2 linked regions of the Drosophila melanogaster genome follow. The protein of the gene in region 2 purifies or fractionates together with the protein of the main gene of each other region. This does not show direct contact. Each region holds a gene or a part of one and is shown on either strand. Other genes may lie near its edges.

Region 1 (6,855 bases), on a different chromosome or scaffold from region 2:
TGGCCAGTTATCTGAGCAACTTCGGCTGGGAACTGTCCTTCTATGTAGTCGGTGGAGTTGGCCTCTCATTCGGCATTGCCTGCTGCTTTCTCGTTTACGACACCGTGGAGCAACATCCAAGGATATCGAATGAGGAGGTGGATTACCTGAGGCAGGGCAAGAGTCAATTGGGACAGCAGCGGCAGCCAGTGAGTAGTTCCTTGTACTTTTAACTTTAAAATTATAAATTAATTAGCTTCTTTTTAGGTGGTAACCATTCCCTGGAAGAGCCTGCTCGCCGCGCCGCCCGTCTACGCCTTCATCCTGACCCACATGTTCCACACCTACACCTTCCTGGTGATTGTGCAACTGATGCCGCGATTTATGCGCGAGGCCATGGAGTTCGATCTCCGCGAGGTGGGCTTCCTCTCGGCGGCGCCGTATCTGGGCGGGATCTGCTCGAAGGTGATGTGCATCCTGGGTGGCAGCTATGTGGAACGACGCGTGGGTCCTGACCAGAATTGTGTGCGAAGAATGCTGTACGGGATCTGTAAGGCATACCGATAATCGGAGTGCCACAGACATCTATAAAGAACACCTTCCCTTAGTGGATTCCTATATAGATTTCCGTAGCATCTCCAGAAACATCACCAATCTCTCTTTTATATCCCATTTTATAATACCAGGCAGCATCCTGACCACTTCTTTGATTGGGGTCATCATCCTGGCTAATTGTGATGACAAAATACTAGTACTTGTGATGTTTGCCTTCATGATGGCCACTACGGATATGGGTTTCAGTGGCTACTGGCCCACGCTGCTCTACTTTGCGCCCTCCTTCGCGGGATTGCTATCGGGATTGGCCAATGGAATGGCCCATCTTTCCGGATTCTTAGCTCCCCATCTTGTGGCCGCTCTGGTCCACACTGTAAGTTTAAATACAAGTAGTTTATGATTAAACTGATTTATTTATGTACCTCGCAGGGCAGCAAGGATGAGTGGAATGTGGTGTTGATGACGCTGATTGTCTTTAATACGATGGCCATGTTGGTATTTGCATTTTGCAGCAGTACGAACCTACAACCTTGGGATCCTCGTAGCAGAATGGAGAAAACTGCATCACCAAGTGCTCAGGAATCAAATAGTTAGCACTTATTTGTTTAAATGTTTTAACTTTTTTGTACTTTCGAAGCATTTTATTTGTTTACTATAAATGTAGAGTTAATTGTGTTAAAATAAAAACAAAATAAATGTAAATATACAATATACATATCAATTTAGTTTAAAATGATAATTGAACTTTCTTCAACGCAATCTTCAAATAAAATTTTTAAAAACCGCGCCTAGCACATAGTATCTTTCAATCTTATCGATAGTTTTACCGTTGTATAAAGCAAGCTGACAAATGTTTCACAACGACCAGTTTTCTACATTTCAAGTACAAAATTACACAAATATTCAATAATTCAAAAATATGTGTGAAAGCAGACATCTATTGGCAGTCAATGTACTAAATGCTCATATTCTTTACACGCCAATCGATAGCTGTTTGATTTGACGCATAGATTTGGTTTGAGTCCCGGCTGAGAACTGTAAGACGAAGAAATAGCTCATTTACCTACTTTAATGGTGCTAAATCGCATATATCACAATGCTTTAGGAAAAGTATTAATATTTCTAGAAAGCGTATGCTATAACTCTTTGTGCTATACTATATATAGGTGGAAAGACATCGATAGTCGCAGGGGAGTATCGATGCATCGATAGTGCCATCGATGTTTCTCCACCTTGCTTTATTAATCATTTCAATTTTTTTTCAATTCGGTTGCTTGACGTTCACTGACGTGATTCCGCACACAGCACATAGTCGAATACGTTTCGCAATAGAAATATCAAAATTCTCCGTGTGGACTCAATCTGGATTGGATGCAACACTAAATTACCAGTGTTTTCCTCGATTTTCTAGCGACGCAAAATTCTCAGTACAACCCAAAAAAAAAACGGAGAGTCTCTTCAACAACAAAATCAAGCATCATCGATAAAAACAACAAGTCTCCCGGAGGAAGTGGCTCCAAAATATCCAGTGCAACAGCGGACGAACTTCTCGGCAGGATTGAGAGTGAGTAGATCGGATTAAACAAATTAAATAATCCCAAACATTGTACATATGTATATACATTTATTTGTGCGCGGGGAAAGGCGGAAGTCAGAGAACTTGGCTTCCTGGTTTTTCATTTACCTTTTGGCGCTTCCGCCAAAACACTTAAACGTTCACTTAAAACCGCTTCTGGACAAATCAATAAAGGCCAAGTGTCGGATCGGACATTACCTTGGTGTTCCCTACTTACACTTGAAAAAATTTCGTTTAACATGGTAATAAAATTAATCAAGGCTATTTATTGCACATCACAAAGAAAGTTTATGACTTTATCAGTTAATTAACTACAATACAAGGGTATAAAAGTCAATTGCTTTTCAAAATGTCTCAATATAATAAAATTTAAAATCATTTCATATGCCTAACATATACATATACATATATCATCTTTCAAACCTACTAGTAGAAATTCGAATTTATAATTACCAAGTAAAGTGATTTATTGCCTTGAGTGTACTTCAAATAAAACATTAAATGCTAGAAGTCTACTTTTTTTCTTCCTGTGTACGTGTGCGTGGGCCAAGCTAGACTCCAAGTACACGAACCCCAAGAATATTAATGTTTAAACTTTAAACACTTGTTACCTTGAATGAAACAGTGCGCTGTATGTATTATCATTGCCGCTGCTGTTGTTGCTCTTTTTTTTGGGTTGAGGGAGGTTCATTCAATCGGGCACACCAACACCACTGCACTTGAGAGCCCATTTGTGTGTGTGTTTGTTGTTGCCTCCTTTGTGTTTTCTGCATATTCACTTTACATACTAAATGTATGCACGAATTTCGTCAAGTCCGCCGTGCAAATACATTTTAATTTTCGCAATTTCATTTAAAATATGGACGCTTAACTTAACATCTACTTGCAATTCGATGTGCTTCACTCGTGTGCGTGTGTGTGGCAGCACGTACACCAGTAAAGGGCCAGAGTTGCCATCCTAACTTCTTTTTTCCAAGCACTTTGTCTTGCTGATAAAAGCAGCTGATTTTTATAAATAAATAAGTAAAAGTTGGAAGACGCAAAAAATTCAATTTATTGATAGTGCGATTTGACCTACCAAAGGCAATAAAAATCTAGAATGGAGAGTAATCATTATCTTGTGTGGAATAAACATTCACGCAAAACTTGCCTATGTATGGAGAACTGTAAACAAATATTCGCACAGCCGCGGGTAACGAACTAGGCCCTCAATAAAAATAAATAACAAAATATATTATTTTCGATACAAACAATTCATAAAAAATGTCAAACATTTGCTCTTAAACTGACGTGCAATTATTAGTGCGCAAATATTGTAAGCAGAGTAAAAAAGAATGAAATTACGTGATTAAAATATTAATGTCCTAAAACTGTATTATAAAAATATGTACACAATCGAACGTTACAGGCACGTTCAACATGATAGCTAAGCCCACAAACTCCTCCGATGACAATCATCGCCTTTGGCTTATTGCGTTTTGCATAAATACCGCTCTTGACTTTCGTGTTATTTCACACGTTTGCTTGTTTGTTTTTAGCTGATAGCGGCATTTATATACGCCATAAAATGTTTAGCGGGGCTAGAAGTGATACGAGTTGTGAGCCTATACATTTCTAATCGGATGTAGTACTGAATTATAGACTACATTATATGTATATAGCATACAAGTATGTCCACTTATTTGGGGCTCTTTTCGCTTTTGCACCAAAAGCTGAGTCACTTTGTTTTCAAATTTTTGTGTGCCGCGGCCACAACGCAAAAAATAGACATCACTAAACAAAAAAACGTTGCGCAAAAAGAAAAGAGAAAATGTTCACTTATTTATATAAACAAATAGGTATTAGTGTTAGCCACTACACCTGTATAGGTGCGATTTTTGTTTTGTTTATCTCGTGGTAATGACGGAAAACCGGTTTCGTAGAACGAAAACACAACTGCTCCGGCTTCTTGCCGGTTAAATACGATTTGTTTAAATACAGAAGAGCCTGCCTAAGTCAAACGAAGCTAAAAAAAAATTCATTCAATTCATTCAGTAGCACAGCAGAAGAATTTGTATTTTCAATATTCGTTGGAGTAGGCTACAAGAAATATGTATGTTTGAGAACCTCAGAAAAACTCTGAAACTCCTGAGATTAAGTTGTAATTAAGCAATTTATAAATCAATCGAATGCCTTATATATAGACATATTTCCGTGGCACCTCAGATTCAAATGTTTAAATTGTATTTATTAATATAATATATTTCTCATAGTTTGAGCTTAATCGTTGAAATATTAAGAAATATGAGACCAACTGTTGATAAGTTCGCTTTTAGTAATCCAAAATCCCTTACAGCCAATATGTTGTTAAAAGTGCCATCTGTGGACTGGACGGATCAAATAATTTACGTAGTGGACGACGACGAGTCGCTGTCAGACATCGACGATGAGCCAGATTTTTCCGAATACATGTGGATGGAGAACGAGGAGGAGTTCGACAAGAACGTAAGATTAAATCTCCTATTTATGATTAACGAATTAACTAATACATTTGCTATCTGATAATAGGAACTGCAACGGCTGGAGGAGGAAGAGATTATGCAGGAGTGTTTTGAAGCCATGATAGAAGACGAGCTGGAGGAGCAGATCAACGAATGGGAGAAGGCCAAGTGAGTAGTGGCTATCCGGTTAACATTGCTGAATTAAAGCTAATTTGCAATCGCTTATTTCAGGACGGACGAGCAGAACACGGCACTTTCCGCACTACCCAAGAGCCAGTGTGATGTTGAAAAGTCTGTTCTGAATCCGATGGCTGATGAGTTTGTTCCGCGTTGTCATGTTATAGATTTCCCTGCCTCATAAAGCCAGCCCATATCTCCTGCCCGCCACAGAATCACAAACTACCCCGAACCCGTACCACGTGGACCTCATACGCGAAAAACCTTAGATAAACTGAAGACCCATTGCTAAGACTAGACTAACAGATTCCGCTAATGAGATTGATATTGATATTCTGACCAAGTTGAGCCAGATGGAGCATTGGGAGCAGTGGCTCATGAATATCTTATTTCTAGATACCAAAATGCTGGAAAAGAAAACTAAATATACCAACAAACTCCAAATGCTGGCGACCGAAATGCAAACGAATCATATTAAAAAAAAAACCTTATAAAAAACAACTGAACCACTGCAAAAATACAAAAAATATGTTTAAAAGAAAAACCAACAAAGAAACAAAAACACAACTTAAACTAAGAACAGACAAATAACAAAATAACAACTATGCCACGTACATTAGAGTACATTGAAATTAGAGTTAAAACCGAATTGTTTGCCGTGAAATTCGGAGCCCCAGAAATTCCGAACCTAAAATGTTATCGAGAAACGCAGACGCAGGCGCTTGCTGAAGCTAGTGAAAACTTTGGTATTAACGTACAAAACGAAAACAAATGACTTTTTACAAGCAACTAAATCTAAACTACAACTAAACTATGCCAATTTCCAGCTAAAGCAACTGTAAGCAACAAACAAGACTCGATTGTGTTAGAAACAAACCAAGAATTTGTAGCCGTCATGTCGTTAAATTGAAATTCTATTCAAAGACTTTAATCGTAGTTTAAATTGTAATTAATTTAACGTCCCGCCCACTGTCTACACTCGATTTAAGTTGATCATCTTTTTTTAATCTTTCACCATTGTTAACTCGTTGTACGTTCTATGCCCAAGTAACAAGAAGCGCTTGTTAACCTTCCCTACTGACTCGCAATATTTGTAATTTACCAATATAATCTAGTGAACTAAACGAATCGATATACTAATGTTTAACGCCTCTTTATACAAACATCATGCATAAATATGTATATCTAGTGTTAATGGAGGAGACAACAGACAACAACAACGCTGCAATAACAAGTAGTTTGTAATTTTAAGTATAAAATTCGTTTGATGCAAATGCACAAAGCCCTCATCGATTTGTTAATATCGTTAAAATTCGTTTCGGCATGTAGACAAAGATGAATTTCTATTTTTTCAATCAACTTAGATTTAGTGACTTAAGACAGCATTATAAGATCTACTACATTACTTACGTTACGTGTGATATAAAGATACAAAAAAACAAAGCAAAAAAAATATCAAAAATGATTTTAAAAATCTCAATAAAAAGAAGTATTATTATGGCATAAAAACTTGGTAGTTTTATTTTTTTTATATTTTTTTTCTTGCATAGATACTATGGAAAGTGAATCAGAAAGATAATCGAATTTACTGATCTTCATTTATTTTATTAGCATCTGAATTATTATATCATATTGGAAGAGCATGAAAATAATAAGATCTCTAAACATTAAAAATATTCTTTATCAAAATTTCATTGCACGCTTAATCATAACTTTTTACATACTTTTCATACGAATCTATTACTTTACACGAATAAATAAAGAATATATAGTATACGTAAGTTGTTGCGGAAAGGTTTTTGTAATTAAGCAATATAAAAGAAAAACATCCTAAAATCGGATAAATAATAAACAATGATTTGTAGTAATTGAAATTTGATAAAGTTTTTATTGCTTATAAAATGTTTTCAATTTCAAGAATACCGCTAATGCACTGCACTTTCGATAAGTTTTGTGTGGAACAATACCGATACCCATATCCAAATACCGATACCAAAAATGGCGTCGTGATTTCCCAGTTGATTTTCCCAGAAAATGCAGCATATTTCGTGGCCCAATAACGCATCAAGTGAAATGTGGGCTTAATTA
Region 2 (5,797 bases):
AAAACATAGTTAACGAACAAATTTTGCTAACACGACTGGCAAATGCAGCCATTGATATTTATGCAATGGTTGTGACGCAATCGCGATCATCCCGTGCAGTCAATCTGAATCTGCCAACTGCACAACACGAGCTCAACATGACCAAGGCACTCACTATTCAGGCATCTGATCGAGTGATTAAGAATCTACAGGCTGCCACATCCAGTCATCATAGGTCTCTCAATGAGAAGATTTCCACCATCGCCAAGACCACTTTGGAAAATGGCGGTGTGACTACGACTGGAATCTTGGATCAAAACTAGACCAATATACTTTTATACGAATTTTAAGCCCTTGATTGTTAACCTAGTATGAATGCCAATAAAGTCTTGTAAATAATAATCGCTGAAGTCTAAAGTTCACCTCGCTCTCACATACGAAATCTCTCTAAAGTGATTATGCACTATCATTGAACAAATGAGTAACAAATACTTGATCATCTATAAATGAACTCAGATAATAGAACTCTTGAAATCAAATCACCTCTATTCCTTTTACGTAGAAAAGCTCACAAATATAATTTAAAGCACTTACCATCTCGATCTGATTTTCAAAGCTGGACGGGCAATCTAATGAAATACAAAATAAATCGAACTTAATTTGGTTTTGTTGTTTTAATTTTGATCATATATTTGTAATTATGTAGTATAATAGTTGGTGTTTAAAAATTCGCTTTTCATATTACAACATTGTTTGTTTGCTGAAAACCTAAAAATCATCGTTGTTTACTTTTTAATTATTGTATTGTACGTTTTCAACAATATTTATCTGTTATTTTTTAGCTATCAAGCGCCTTGGTGTTTCAAAGTTTTGCCTTAAATGTAACAAGCAATATTCTTTTAATTGACTTTCAAAAATTGCACGAAAAATTTGGTAACATAATAATTGCAGCAAATATATTAGATAATAATTGGAAACGCCTTCGCTGAATATATAGATAATAGGATTAACAATTTCATACTTACGTTTATAATTATAGGATATATAGTAAAGCACAGAGAATTTCGCTTGTTAACTAAGATATTGACAAACATAACACATATATAATACTTTTTCGAGTGTAGAGAAGCTTAATAAAACAGCACTTTCTCTTTAGATATGCGATTAGATTTAACAATCATAATGTTTGGAATTGCATAAATTTACATGTATAACTTGACGGTTTTTCAGGCAGCCAGAATGCATATTTGATTACAGCGTGATCTGTGCAACGGAGTAGCGTAGCTCTTTGGGCATGGATCTGGGTTTGATTATTACCGAAGGCTAATCTACAATGCTTTTACTAACCAACACGCTCATGTATGTATATTATGCCTTGTATATATTTATGTATGTATATTCTAATAAATTATTGTACTCTCTTGCTAGTGCCAAATGCCGCTTTGGCCGCATCCTTTAATTGTCCAATTGCCGTTCCCTTCTCTCGATCGTGTCTGCTTTCTTAACATATGAGTATTGCCGTACTTGGAGTATTTTCTTGTTCATTAATTTTGCTTGAGATTATTGAATGATTGATTATTGCTGAACAAATTGCTGGAGGGCTTAGAGGGTGACATCGTGCTCTTCGTCGAGCATTTCAACAAATGCGCGTGGCACCAGACCCTTCAATAGACCCTGTTTTCCGTACATGTAATCCTCGTTTACTGGTGAGCACTCCGTCACGAAGATCACCTGAAAAATGAGTTATATATAAGCATTGCTTAGGATATTATTTGTTCTTTACTTTACCTCATTGGCGCTCAAATTAAGCTCGGTGTGATCCTTGGCGTCGTAGGAGCAAAGGACGCGTGCCCTCTGCATCTGATCCGTGCTGACGTGCATGGGCTGATTAGGCTTGTGGCCGGTGGCAGCCATATTGGCAGAGTGATTGTTGCCAGGACCACGGGCTGCGGCTCCGGACGATATGTTGGACTTGCTGGCACTGGCCTCGTTCACGTCGAGCGGAATGTATGGCGTGGGGCCTCCCAAGCTGATGGAAGATGCAGAGTTTAATGAGTTTTTGATTCGATTTGATAGCGAGCTCTAAATGGAGAGATGAGCTGCTGAAACCTGACTTTACAAAGTGCAACAACTACCGATAACAGCAACCTATCTAGTACGTATGATTTGAAATTAAATGCTAATGTTAACTGGGCATGGAATCCGATTCGATATGAAGATCACAATAACAAGACCCCTAAACTGTGGAGACGGCTGTCGTATCGAATTCTATGTGAAAGTCTTCGAGCAGATTCGTAAGCGACTTGTCCAAATCGGGATCTGGATCGCTATCTAGGGCTATCCCCCCTAATGAATCGGAATCACAAGAATGCATCGACACCGAGCTGGGAGGCCCACAATCAACGTCTTCGCTATTGATACGCAGGCGTGGCTTGGGATGCTGCATTCTGTAAGACCACAAGCAGATATCATAACGCACAGTGAGACCACCAGAAGGGACCACGGGTTTCATCAAGGATGGGACATGGTGTTTTGGTGTGCAAGAAAAGATTCGTTTGGTGCCTACGTGGAAGTCACAGTCATTCTCTATCGATCGCCTACTACTTACTTGGCCAGTTCACGCTGCAGCTGCTCCATGACATCGCCGCACTGCTTGTAGTAGCGCACTTGCGTCTGGATGAAGGCGTGCAAGTGGCGCAAATGAGATGCCTGCGATGTGCTGATCCCGTCCAGCAGCAGCTTGGTAATCTCCGCCTGCCGGTCGAACTCGGCCTGAGCCACCCGCAAGTCCCGTTCCGCCTAGAAAAAATCGCAATTAGAAATTGGCTCATTGATTAGCCATAAATCTAGAGCACGAGCTCGGTCAAGGTTTTGATACCTGTTCCAAGACGGCCTCTGGCGAGATGCCATCTTTCTAAAAATTCCGGGCAGCAGAGGGCAGAAAAAGACCGTGAGTGAAAAAGCCATTACGAAACCCAATCAATCATACCCCCTTGCAATAAGGAAACCCCATCAAATCCCACCCACTTACCGATTGCTGACCCAGCATGCTGCGCGCTTTCTTCACCCTGTTCTTGCAGGCGTCCAGATCCAGGCGCTTGGTCTCCAGGATGCCTCGCTCCTTGCCAATTGTCTTCATTTCGCCGTCTAGGAACTTGCGCAACGGCTGTGTAAAGCAAATGCCCGAGGTGGCTATAAAGTCGTGCTCGCACTGGCCCAGTTTCTGTTCCGCTTGGCCGACCTTGATCAGAGCCTGACCATAGGGTAAATCCTGCCCGAAATCGCCCCCAGCCTCGATCATGTCCAGAGCCAGGTGCTCTAGGTTGCTCAACCTTTTTGGCTTCGACTTTTCAATCTTCTCGAAGATGAAGTCTTCGACCCGGTTCTGAGGATTGGGTATCAGCACCGACTCTGTGTCGCGCACTATCTTCTCCGTCCATGTCTTGGTCACATCAGCCCGCTCGGCGAGATTCTGGAAGTGCAAGTCGTACTCGGTGCGCTCCGTGGTGCCCAGTTTCTCCTCCGTGAGCTGAAAAGGTCATTGAAAACAATGGAGAGCCGTTGAAAAGGGCAAAGAAACAACGAAAGTGCTTGAGATTGGTTTGGGGTACATCTGTCATTTGCCCAACCACCGAAAGTTCACCACCACCCGCTTTTTTTTCAGCCACCCAAATTCATTGATTTGTTCACCTGCACCACTCGTGATATTGTGCTGCCCGCCTCCTTCACCAGGTTCTTCACATTGAAATTCGGCAGATTTATATTCATTTTTGCCGAGAGGTTCGCTAATTAACACTGCCGTTGATAAAGTTTAAATTTAAATTCCGCTACACAGCCCAATTTGTTTGTATTTATTTCCTCTACTTCGTAGTGTGACCCATTGTTTCTCCCAGGAATATACCAAATATACCGAAGAATTCCAACTGGAACAGAGTTCTAATTGGAAATACTACTATTGAGTAAAATGTAAAATTGTATTAATTTTTAATTTATCATAGCTTTTTCTTCTTTATTCTTCATGTAAATGGTGAAACGAAATTTACTTCTATTAAACAAATGCCACGACATCAAAGTAGATAACAATTAAGCTGTCTGTTAGCAAATACATACCTACATACTATGTAAGCTAACAGTTTCGGTAAATCAAGTGTGGTGAGTATCTATATAGTAACGAAAGCTACTATGGCAAGCTTTAAAAAATGTGAACGTTTGTACAATATAACATAGTCAATTAATCATGATATGGATGAAAATCATTTTTCAACATTTAAACTAATTTTTACTTACCCTGCTTGCAGACCGTGCACCTTGTAATTAAACCCCCAAAATAAAACACGATTTGGAAAACATTTAAATTTAACTTTTCACATTTAATACACACTCATTAGACATATATTATCGGAGCGGAAAAATTAAAACATGCATTCAATTGATAACTTTTCACCACTCTGCTGCTTCTTACATTTATGGCTGACTTTCGCTTTTCCTTATACATCATATGACAATCTGTGCAAAATCGAGTGTGCTTTTATCACTTTCCTATATAGTTTTCGGCTCGAATTCATATTCATTCATGTTGAGCGAGAATAATACACAGAGTTCTGGACAAAAATCAATTACAGCTATATGTATATATTTTAACTATCTGTTATAGATCGGATATCTTACACACATGTTAGGATGCACGTATTATTTGGGGGTTTCCTTGAATGTTCCAAATCCGTTAAATTCCATTGTGCTGCAATTGTTGGTGATTATAATACTTAATGGACATTTATAATACATTTAATGGACATCTAGATTGTTATGGAATAGTTGTGTGATTTGCCCTACACTACTAGTGTTCACATTAATAGTTAAAAATCTACAAATTCTCGATCCGACCTCAATATTTGATACAGCAGGTCGCATTGCACACGTTAACAAAATGGTTTTGCTTAGGCTCTTGATTTAGTGGACCATGTGTAAAATCACATATTGCATTAATGTAAAACTACGCTGACATGAACCTAAAAGTAGCCCTTGTGTAAATCTAGTGTTTCTTTCGTATTTCTGCTATCTTTGATTAATTTTGAAATGGTCCCGACTAACTTGAGAAACCTAGGGCGTGCGGATTGTGGGTGCACGATGGGCTTCTTTGTTTAAAAAAATGGTTTTGTTTAACAATTACGGCATAATAATCCCTAGGTCTATTTAAGCAAAATTGCACAATGTGGTTAATATAGTTTCTGGTTTGCAATCGATCAATTATATTATGAACTTTTAATTCAATCAACATTCATGTGAATATTTATGCCATTTTAAAACGAGATTCAATGCCATTACAAATGTATAACTACACGTATATAATTAACAATAAGTTTCATTCGGCGGACAAGCGCCATATCTTCAAAAAATCAGTACAATTGGTATTCATTCGTCCACGAACAAGGGTAAAATATTATTTTCTCATTTTAAAAATTATTGCTTTTTATTTGGATTCCTTTGTATTACGATTTCTTTCAATCAAAAATATAACTAATTTATTCCAGTCGCCGTATTACAACGAGCATTCAAAATTATCCCAACTCATGCTTAGAGGAAAACGAAAGAGCATAAAAAACCAATTACAAATAATAGTTTTATATTTAGACAAACTATATACAATGATTAATGGAGGAAGTGACTAGCGTAAATTAAGACTAAAATTATACACAATATGTACAGTTGGGAATAATACCCCCGGTAGTAGTCGAGTCTGTTTCTTCTTTAACTTAGGATCTTGCATACTCTATAGGAAACTTGTGGGTTACACTTTGGATAATCTCTGTGCTTAGAG

The links.
Region 1: the proteins of EndoB (region 2) and Paip2 purify together in Drosophila melanogaster (affinity purification with mass spectrometry, with the first as the bait; one large-scale study listed by BioGRID). This does not show direct contact.

What each region holds. Positions count from the first base shown.
Region 1 is NT_033777.3:12,979,290-12,986,144, forward strand, and holds Paip2 (polyA-binding protein interacting protein 2), read left to right. Parts: upstream 1-1,756; 5' UTR 1,757-2,098; intron 2,099-4,445; 5' UTR 4,446-4,450; coding exon 4,451-4,594; intron 4,595-4,657; coding exon 4,658-4,758; intron 4,759-4,821; coding exon 4,822-4,951; 3' UTR 4,952-6,199; downstream 6,200-6,855. Other genes in the region: CG7091 (uncharacterized protein), read left to right, coding at 1-188, 247-529, 666-907, 964-1,128.
Region 2 is NT_033778.4:19,306,806-19,312,602, forward strand, and holds EndoB (endophilin B), read right to left. Parts: upstream 3,861-5,797; 5' UTR 3,748-3,860; coding exon 3,670-3,747; intron 3,509-3,669; coding exon 3,011-3,508; intron 2,894-3,010; coding exon 2,858-2,893; intron 2,779-2,857; coding exon 2,588-2,778; intron 2,427-2,587; coding exon of another isoform or gene 2,222-2,426; intron 2,009-2,221; coding exon 1,768-2,008; intron 1,711-1,767; coding exon 1,582-1,710; 3' UTR 642-1,581; downstream 1-641. Other genes in the region: Acadvl (Acyl-CoA dehydrogenase very long chain), read left to right, coding at 1-302; Rgk1 (Rad, Gem/Kir family member 1), read right to left, coding at 5,792-5,797.